Drosophila melanogaster: one gene and its partner. The protein of the gene in region 1 interacts with the protein of each later gene in a pairwise test. Each region holds a gene or a part of one and is shown in the gene's direction. Other genes may lie near its edges.

Evidence for each region.
Region 2: the proteins of LpR2 (region 1) and Hil interact in a two-hybrid assay, tested with the Drosophila melanogaster proteins (one large-scale study listed by BioGRID).

Annotation. Positions count from the first base shown.
Region 1 is NT_033777.3:25,737,450-25,742,108, reverse strand, and holds the start of LpR2 (lipophorin receptor 2), read left to right. Parts: upstream 1-1,643; 5' UTR 1,644-1,864; intron 1,865-2,486; 5' UTR 2,487-2,498; coding exon 2,499-3,054; intron 3,055-3,419; exon of another isoform or gene 3,420-4,082; intron 4,083-4,659. Other genes in the region: LpR1 (lipophorin receptor 1), read left to right, coding at 97-129.
Region 2 is NT_033778.4:20,615,207-20,619,839, reverse strand, and holds the start of Hil (hillarin), read left to right. Parts: upstream 1-1,622; 5' UTR 1,623-1,773; intron 1,774-4,633. Other genes in the region: CG9945 (uncharacterized protein), read right to left, coding at 1-360, 413-559, 620-884, 952-1,131. UniProt on the Drosophila melanogaster protein: May act as a modulator of septin function during cytokinesis in the developing nervous system.

The DNA of each region.
Region 1 (4,659 bases):
TAAGCATTGGGTTTAACACACCCGCAAATGATTTAATTTCCCTTCCATAATATTAATCGGTATACTTATTATAATTTATCTTAATTTATCTTGCAGTACTCACCCGTCATAGGCATATCCTCGTATTAGATTGATTCCTCTGGAATCGTGTGAAATGTGGATTGGATGATTGTTGCGCTTGGTCGCTGGGAAAATTAGATGACCAATGCTAACTCGAGACCCGCGGCAGAAACACACACGCCTGAAGACTGAGCAACTCTGTGTATTGTGTAAATTAATTATTTTAAAATTTTAAGGCACGGCAAGGACGGCGGGTCACCTTGGAGCGCATCCTTAAAGGATGCTGTACAAAATACTATGTCGCAGAGTTCTATCACAAATAAACAAAAGAAAAACAAAACAGAAATAGTTACGAGAAACGTAAAAGGAAACGAGAAATCTAATTGCTAATTATAAATTACATAGTTCCAAACTGTATATAGCTGTAAGTGTGCATTATTTTTAAATGACGCAACTTAATATTACTATACGTAAACATGACAAAGAGATCATTGTGCTTATGGTCTACTATTAGAGCAAGTTGAGAAATTATATTTCTGTTGTCAAGGAGCAGAGTCGTTTTATTATATTAAAATTATTACTGCATACGTATTAGCCTTTTGTTAACTGTATTTGTTAAGTGTACATACATATGTATATGTTTCCCCACTAAAAAGAAAATATGATGAATAATAAACTCAGAACATACTTATGTGTAGCGTACTCCTGTGATATAATTACATGACTTTGTGGATGGGATTTTAATTTGATTGATTTCAAAGTGTGAGTGGTAAGTTGCCAGCTATTTTTCCAGTTTTTATTTCCAACATTGTCCAATTTACAATTTTTTGCTGAATTTGTAGCATTTCGTTTCATCTTCAGATGCACAGCTGTTAAAAATGCACATATATTTCTGTTCCTTGAAGAAATCTCAATTGGAAATGTACCGAAGGGGAATAATTCATCAAAGCTTGATGATTTTACACTTTGATGATATCCAGACTTGCTAAAAGCCCATCGTGTTTCTCAAGCATCTTTGTTATTCAAATGGAAACCATGTTATGAATTGAAATGCAGAGGTACAGGTGCTGTCAATAGATCAATTTCCGCTACAGTAAATGGTTTAACATTTATTGACCAATTGTGATTTACGTGTGTCTATGCTACAAAGCCCATTACTAGTTTCAATCGAAGCCTTGACTGATTGACCCGGGCCAACAAACAATTTAGACCTGTAATTTTAGAAATTGCTACCTCACTAATTGGATGCCGAAACGACAAATAGTGGAACACACCTCCAAAATAGATTGATACACGTTCTAAGAGAGCGGCCGAAGAGAGAACCACCTGTTAGCTCTGATTCAATGTCAGCTTATTTGCGCACTGGTAGCTTTGTCTTCTCTTTGTGTTGGAGATCGAGGCTTTTGATTTTCAACGCTTTGGGGCTCCCCCCGATGATGACGTCGACACTCTCTTTTCTCTTCGCAGGTGTGATATGGTACGCGTGGCGATCGTCGGTTCGTTGCCGAACGAAAGACGAGCACTGCCGAAGTTTCTAAGACGGTTCCATTGGTCCGCTCACTTCGGAAGCGATATTCCGGCAGTTTGTACTCGCAGTGCGTGTCGCTAGGTCGTCGCTGGTCGCTTATCGCTCATACGCCCCATGCTTTGGATATAACTTCACCGTTAAACCGAGAAATTTCGGAATGCGAAAAAAGTTTCGGAAAGCAAAAGTTCAAAGCAAATAAAAAAAAGTTCAAGCCGGGGCTTTAAGGCCAGCTCATCGCATTTGTCGAGCGGAAATAAGTGTTAATTAAAAAAAAATGTATGAATCTATTTTGGCCGAACGTTACGTCAATATGTCATGTGAAAAAACAGCATAAATTTTAGTCCAACATGTGTTTTGCCATTCAATAAAGTAAATACAAGATTTGAACAACCAGAACCCATTCCGAGCTGGAATAATGGTGTCAATGGGTAGTGGCTGCGCATGACTTACCAGGCTTACCTGGCTTATCAACCGTTATACCGCTGATAGCAGATATATCCAAATAAAAAATTATTTTAATGTTTTAAAATGAGTGAGAGGGACAGCATAAGGGGCTAACCCTCGCTTTGACCAAAGGCGTCGCCCTTAGCTTGCAGTTTTATGTGTGTATTTCGTGTTTTCTGTGCTCTTATGCTGTTTTTTCGCAACATCGTATGTTTCTTTTTCCCTTCATCGCCTTTTCCGCATGTTTATCGTACCTATGCCTTACACTCTCATCCCGATACAGTCGATTCATTCTCTCACTTTTGTGAACGTTTTTTTGGCAAACGTTGCGTGTATTCGCCTAAACTTATTATTTAATGGACGTGTATAAATAAGTTGGCAAATCGAACCAGAGTGAAAAGCGTGTGTGACCCACTGAGCCTAAAGTGCAATTTCTACCGTATATATATTCTAGCAGCTGCAAAAGATGGCCACAACCTGCATGCCGCATTTCACGGAATATTTTCAAACCACCACCCAGTCAGAGTTAACAACAAATGAAAGTGCCAACAGCAGAAGCAGCAGCAGCAGCAGTGGCTGTAGAGAACCGTCCAAAACCAGTGGCTTCTTCTACAGCGCCAGCACACATTACCAGAGCAAAGTGCAGCAGCTAATCAGCTTCAGCTTCACCTCATCGTTCCACCTGCTCTTCATCACCTGCATACTGAGCATCAGCAAATTCTGCAATGCGGCGGCGGTAAATGCCGCCCATGTGACCGCTGCCACGCCCACTGCCAGCGAGATAATGCACAATCTGAGCGGATCGGCGCTGCTAGAGCGTCTGAAAGCCAGTACTCTGGGACCCACCCTCGATCAGCTGAAGCATCTGGCTCCTGCGGCAGCCAACAGCATTAGTCCTGGTACAGGATCTGGCATGGGAATCGGGATGGGACACTTTGGCAGTTCCATTAATTCGGTGCTAAACGGAAATCCTTTAAAGTTCTTGAATGTGTCAGGAAAAATCGGCACTCCTTTGGACATATGTAAGTTTTTACAAGCCCATAAAAATGGTTTATTCCTAGAAGTTCTAAATGCTAGAGGTATTTGTAGTTATAAATCTTTTAGTCACTCTTTTTATCAACTTGTATTTATTTTTATGATTCATGAAAGGCTTAAACATTCATACATATTGCCGGCGAATTATTAGAATTAGTCAACTATTAACATCACGTCACAAATTAAGCTTTCCATCATATCAAAACTAATCATTTTTGTAAGAGTTGCCGTATTTTAAATATCTATTAAAAAGCTATGAATATAAAATTCAAAACTAAAGTGCAGAATAATCAAAATTTAAACTGAAAAATAATTTAAATCACAATATACTTTGCAGCCTTAATTGAGAGTTGTAAACACTTAAGGCTCGTAATCATGGTTCGACTTTGTCGGATCTTCTTCGATTTCTCCGAGTGTAAGGGGATGCGGTGTTTATAGTTGGTGGCTCCAACTCCAACTCTCTCATTTCTGGCGATCATGCCACCAGCCATGTGTACATACGTATGCATACCCCGATTTCCAGTCCGACTCCGATTTTAGCTAAGGCTCCGACTCCGACTGACTCGGCTCAAGTTTTATTTATGTGAATTTTGTTGCCAGCCGAAAGCCAAAGCGTCTGGCAATGCCAGTAAACTGCACTTCCATTTCCATGTCCCAACATTCCACATCGTCATACGATTTCCAGACTGCAGAGCTCTTTCCCTTTTCTCCCCATGCTCCGTGCTCTTTTTTGTCGGCAGAAACCTTTTACTTTCCTCTACAACTCGCCTCTGCTTACACTGTAATAAAAGTTCCACTAAAACTCATGCTTAAAGTGACTAAAGTACCGGGATAAAATCGAGTGTGGCATACTTTTTGGCGTGCTATATATGACATTAAAAAAAAGGGTTCTTTAAAGTTCAGAATTTATGCATTTTCTTTCGGTGTACACTCTTTGCTTGTTCTGCTTCCCCTTATAATTATTCCATTTTATGCTTATTTTTTGTACCGGCCGGCATCGCTACATGAAGCGAATGGAGCGCCACTTGAAGACTTAAACTCCGGCGGCTCTTGTGAAATGTACAGAGAGAATACCGAGAAAGAGAGAAGAGGAGAGAAACCGTGGTAGACGGGGGAGCAGAGAACAAAAAGAGCAACAAGTGGCCGATTCTTGGAGTTTCTTGGCCTTGCACATTGGTCAACGTTTTTTTGTAAATCGATCCGAGCACGTGGCAGATATATGTACATTCTACTCCAACATAAACTGGAAGTAGCTCGACTTATTTATAAACATTTGTTGTTACCAAGCTGATCTCGATATCTATTTTGATTATCCCCCACCCAGAAGTAATTCAAGCACTTTAAAAAATATGGCTTAGCTTTAAAAAAACATAAACAGAAGATTGACTAACGAAGTAATTTTAGCTTCAAACGCGGCTGTTTGTAAATGACATTGAATAAGCAGGCAGTTTACATAAAGGCCTACGTAAAACATTCAAAGAACATTCAAAACATTCAAACATTCAAATTGGTAAGAAAATTGCTGAATAATCAATTATTTGCGCAAATTAAAAGTACAGTGTAGAACCAAAAATACAATAGACCCTGATTAA
Region 2 (4,633 bases), on another chromosome or scaffold:
CGTAGTGGCCGATGAAGGATGCCACAGACTTGGACAGGTCCCGTGAACGGAAGGTGGTGCGCAGGTCGTAGACCTTTAGCAGGCCGTCGTCACAGCCGGCGATTATCACATTTGGATCCTTATCGTGTAGGAAGCACACCGAGTTAACATCCTTGCCGGGCATGCGGTGGGTGCGCAGGATCTGTGTGTTTCTTGTGCGAATGTCGGTCACGATGACCGTGGAATTGTTGCTGCCCCCGATGATTTTGTCGCCTGTTGGCGAATAGCGCAGCGAGAAGATGGCCAACCTATGGCTTGGCAGTCCATTGACATCGATCCACTGGCAGTCGTCTTCCCCCCCATTCACGGGCATGATGAACACTGAAGGGGAAAACAACTTAGTGTGGATAAACAGATTGGGCGGAGTACCTACATGAGCGGGACCAGGTGCTGTAGGCGAAGTGCTCGCCATTCGGACTAAAATCCGCATCGATGATGCTCCACTCAACATCGCGGGCTCGGATGCGATTCAGCAGGTGATAAGTGCCCTTGGCGCCATCGTAAATGCGCACAAAGCCATCTGGAAGGGGTCAAAATCGTGTTTTAATGCCAATCGGAAGCGTTAATCATGAATGCTGACCTTGACAAGCGGTCAGCAACTTGCTGCCCGAACGATTGAACTTGGTCACAAATATTTTGGATTCCAGCGACATCAGGCGTGTGGCCTTTTTGTTTGGTATGTAAAGATTGGATATGTAGCGCTGCTGGTTCTTGGAGAACGATGCGCTGTGCGGCGATGCCAACCCATTCTCACGCTGCTGAAGGGCGTGCACCAGGTTCCAGCGATTGTTCGGATTGCTCACTAATCCACTCGACGCCTGGATCTCCTTGTACATATCAGTTTTCTGGAAGATTGCGTGGGCAATAAATTACTATTAATTGTTATCTGGGGACGGGGTATTTCGTCATTACCTGAAATTTAACTAGATCGGGCTTGCCTCGTATAACTGGCATCTCGCTGCTGCAATAATCGGAGCGCAGATCCATGGCGTTCACCGTAAAGTTGATCACGTTGAAGCCCAGCTCGTTGTCCGAAGAATCAAAATCGTCGTCTTCATCGCTATTCATCTGTATAGCCAATTGGTTCCCCATAACTTTTTGCGTTTTCCCTTTTGCACTCTTTTGTTATTAATTTCAACCTATCGTTTCTTCGATAATTGTTGCAGCCAGTGAGACCGCAGGTGAAGAGCCTGAAAATACCACGATGTTCAAGTTCAAACGTTGAACACCTATCGATCTATCGCAGCAGATTACGAACAAAAAATTGTAAAACCTTTCTATATAAATATTTATATAAATTAAAACTATTAAAAATGCTAAGCTGAAATGATAGTTATAGCAAGGAAGTGTAGCCGAGGGCTTTATAAAAAAAAACAAATGAAATTATAGATTTTCCAACGGGGACCAGAGTAAAATATTTTTAACGATTACTGGAACTCCTAGGCTGATCCGTGGACGGCTATCGATAGTAGTGGTGGGCACGCGCAGTTGCCTTTGCGAAGCGAGCTTTTTGGAGCTATGTAAAAGCTTTACCCCCAACAAAGCTCGACTCAGAGCGGATTCCATTCCGCGAATAGCAAAGCAACTAGTCTCAAATCGATCGTGATCGCGCTCGAGCCGAACGGAAAAGAAACGGATCGAAAAGAAAAGCGGCTCGAAACCTGTGCTAGTGTGAGTGAACGCGTCCGTGTGTGTCGTCGTGCTGTGCTGATTGTGTATGAGTGGTTGTGTTTGGTAATGAAATTTTGTTACATTCCCAATATTCGAAACCTGCTGTTCGGAGAAGAGACTTTTGGAGGCACAACAAATAATGCCGAAAATGTGATAAAGCGCAGAATTGGAATTCCGGATTCATGGACCTTGCGAACTGAACAATCTGCTCTCCCCTTTTTCTATGCCTGTGTGTGTGTATGCAATATGTGTGCTTGGATCTCGCTGGGGCTATCGCTCTGTGTGTGTGTGTTTGTGTGTCGGTGTGCGCCTGCGTGTGTGTAAAATTTATGATAAATACTTTTGCACAAAGCGCGCCCCTTTGCAACCAGAAGAAGAAAGTTGTTTAGCATATATGCGTAAAAGTAATAGAAATACACATAAACGGCAAAGAAGTGTGTCAAAAAGGGCCTAGAATAAGCACTCCATGTATCGCGTGTGTATAATCTAGGCGAAAATAACAAAAATAATAGCGATGCTGGGGAAATAATCTACGGAAAAACTGGAACAACCGACGCCGCGGCTGCAGACACGAAAAAAAAGTGAAAGATTGCAGGCTGACGTTTGAAGTCGAAGCTGGGCCTGCGTCACGGCATAAACACACACATAAACCAATACAAACGCAAATAGACGGGGTGGGTGGTTGAGGCGACACCACCTGTCATGGGCGCTGGTTGCACCCGCCCTCCATCCCTTTTAACTACACGGGTTTCGTATGTGGCTTCCAATTATTGTGGCTTGCTCATAAATTATTTTCGGTGTTTGTGCTTCTAATTTATTGCCAGCGAAATGGGCGATTTCTAAAAGCAATTCATTGTTCCATTCAATTAGCGACTTTGAAATTGGCACAGCAAAGCAAGTACCTTGATTTTTTCAAATTTGCCCAACCAATTCTCACACTTTTCAAGAACAGTTAAACGTTTTTGACAAGTACTTTTGTATACTTTAAATAGTTCGCCTAAAAGTAAAGCGAAATGGGAAAACAGTTTGAATTTTATAATGTTTATTAATTTAACAATTATTTAAGTTCATCACATTGAAATTATCTGCCTTTATTTCCATAATCTAAAAAGGGGAATCATTGCCCTGTTCGACTTGTTAGTTATTCACATTAGTGCCATTGTCACATTTTAAGTTTATATTTCTCCCCTCATATCGCTACTCTGCAGTGACGCAATCATTTGCATCTTATTTTAATTCCTATGATTGTTTCACTGCCAGGCGGAATAACCAGTTGCTTTTTGTCTTGTTGTTTGCTGCTTGGCTGTTGTTTCTTTGCATTTATCAAATCTTTGTATCTGGCTTTAATGTGATTAGCGGTGGCAATTATGCCAATTCAAGTTCATTATACTTGTGTTGCTGCTGCAGCAGTTTACTGTTATTATTGGTATTTATTTAATTGTCATTGTTAGCGTTTCGTTAAGCAATGCCAGCGATAAGGGAAACGACAAAAACAACAGCAGAGATACCACATCGAAACGAAAGACTTAGGCAACGAACTTGTTCGCCCGATGCAAATGCTTCCGAGTGCTTATCAATTTATTTAAATGTCTCGATTGCAAACAATTGCCCGCGCAGAGCAACTTTCGTTTTTGTGACTGCTTCTCGCGTTTGTCATTTTATTTTGTATGTTTATATTCCATTCGCATGGCATTTCATCCGCATTGAGGTGGAAAAGAAACCCAAAGCTGGCACGGAGCACAGGCATGTGTGCGAAATTATATGCGGCATCTCGGGTTACCTGCAGTCCATAGCTTCTTAGTCACACCCAAGTGGCCATGGTGGCATGATGGGATGATGGAACGATATTGTGATAGGTGATGTAAGTCGCACGAGGCGTTTTGTCAAAGCCGCCCCATCCAATTTGCAGGGTCTTCGCGGCTATCCACGTATTCATGTCCATTACAATTATAATTACACGCTAATTATGTCAGCCGCTAAGCGTAATTGGACCATTCAATCACACCGATTATGATCGCATCAACAGATCAAACTGCCATTTTTGTCGCTCTCGATGTGGGCGTTGTTGATTGATATTCGAATCGATGCGGGGGCTATGGCCAAAGAGCTAGACGAGATTGTGGACAGGTTAGTCATCGATGGAGCTTATGGTCTTTAAGGGCACAAATCTCCCGCTCGTCTTGATTCACACATCAATTTGTTGCCTCACATTCGATGTGGTCGATCAAAAGGCAGACCTCAAAAGCGGAATAAATTTTTATTCACAGCCAATCAAAATAATTTGGTGTTACAAAATGTCTTGGCGGCCTTCGCCGCATTTGCATTGGCGTTTTCCCCTTTTCCATTTCAATTTCTTACCATTTTCCATTAGTGCTGCAGCTGCAATGTGGCATGCAATCCACAGATCAGCAACCTTCGATGCCGCAACTGGCGCTAATCATAAGGCCTTGCCACCACCCATTCCCCAACCGATCCCCAACCACCCACCATTCATCGCCCGGACTCAACGTTCATTAAACTTGAAAAGAAAGCAAAACGATGACTTTGAGTTCGACTGCGGCTTTTGGCTTTGTCTGCGCAACTGAGCCGCATTTGTTTTAATTTTGGTCAGAGCAACAGACGCCGCAACAACAATGATTTCAATTAAAGTAACATGCACTTGCTCGCACACACTTACCTTCACACAGTCTGCTTTTCCACTTCAATTTAATTGTTGTAGCTAGACAAAAACCGAAAGGAAACCTGCCAGTAACAATCGCGTCAATTAATCAAATGGAAAATGCAACTTTTGTGCCGCTGCCAGGCGGCAGTTGCAAGTTGCACGAGCCAGTTGTACGACGAATGCAGCAACTCAAGTTCAATTGTGGCACGTTTGGAGCAATCTCAAGCTCGACTTCCCAAGCGAGGTCAATGGCAAGGCGAA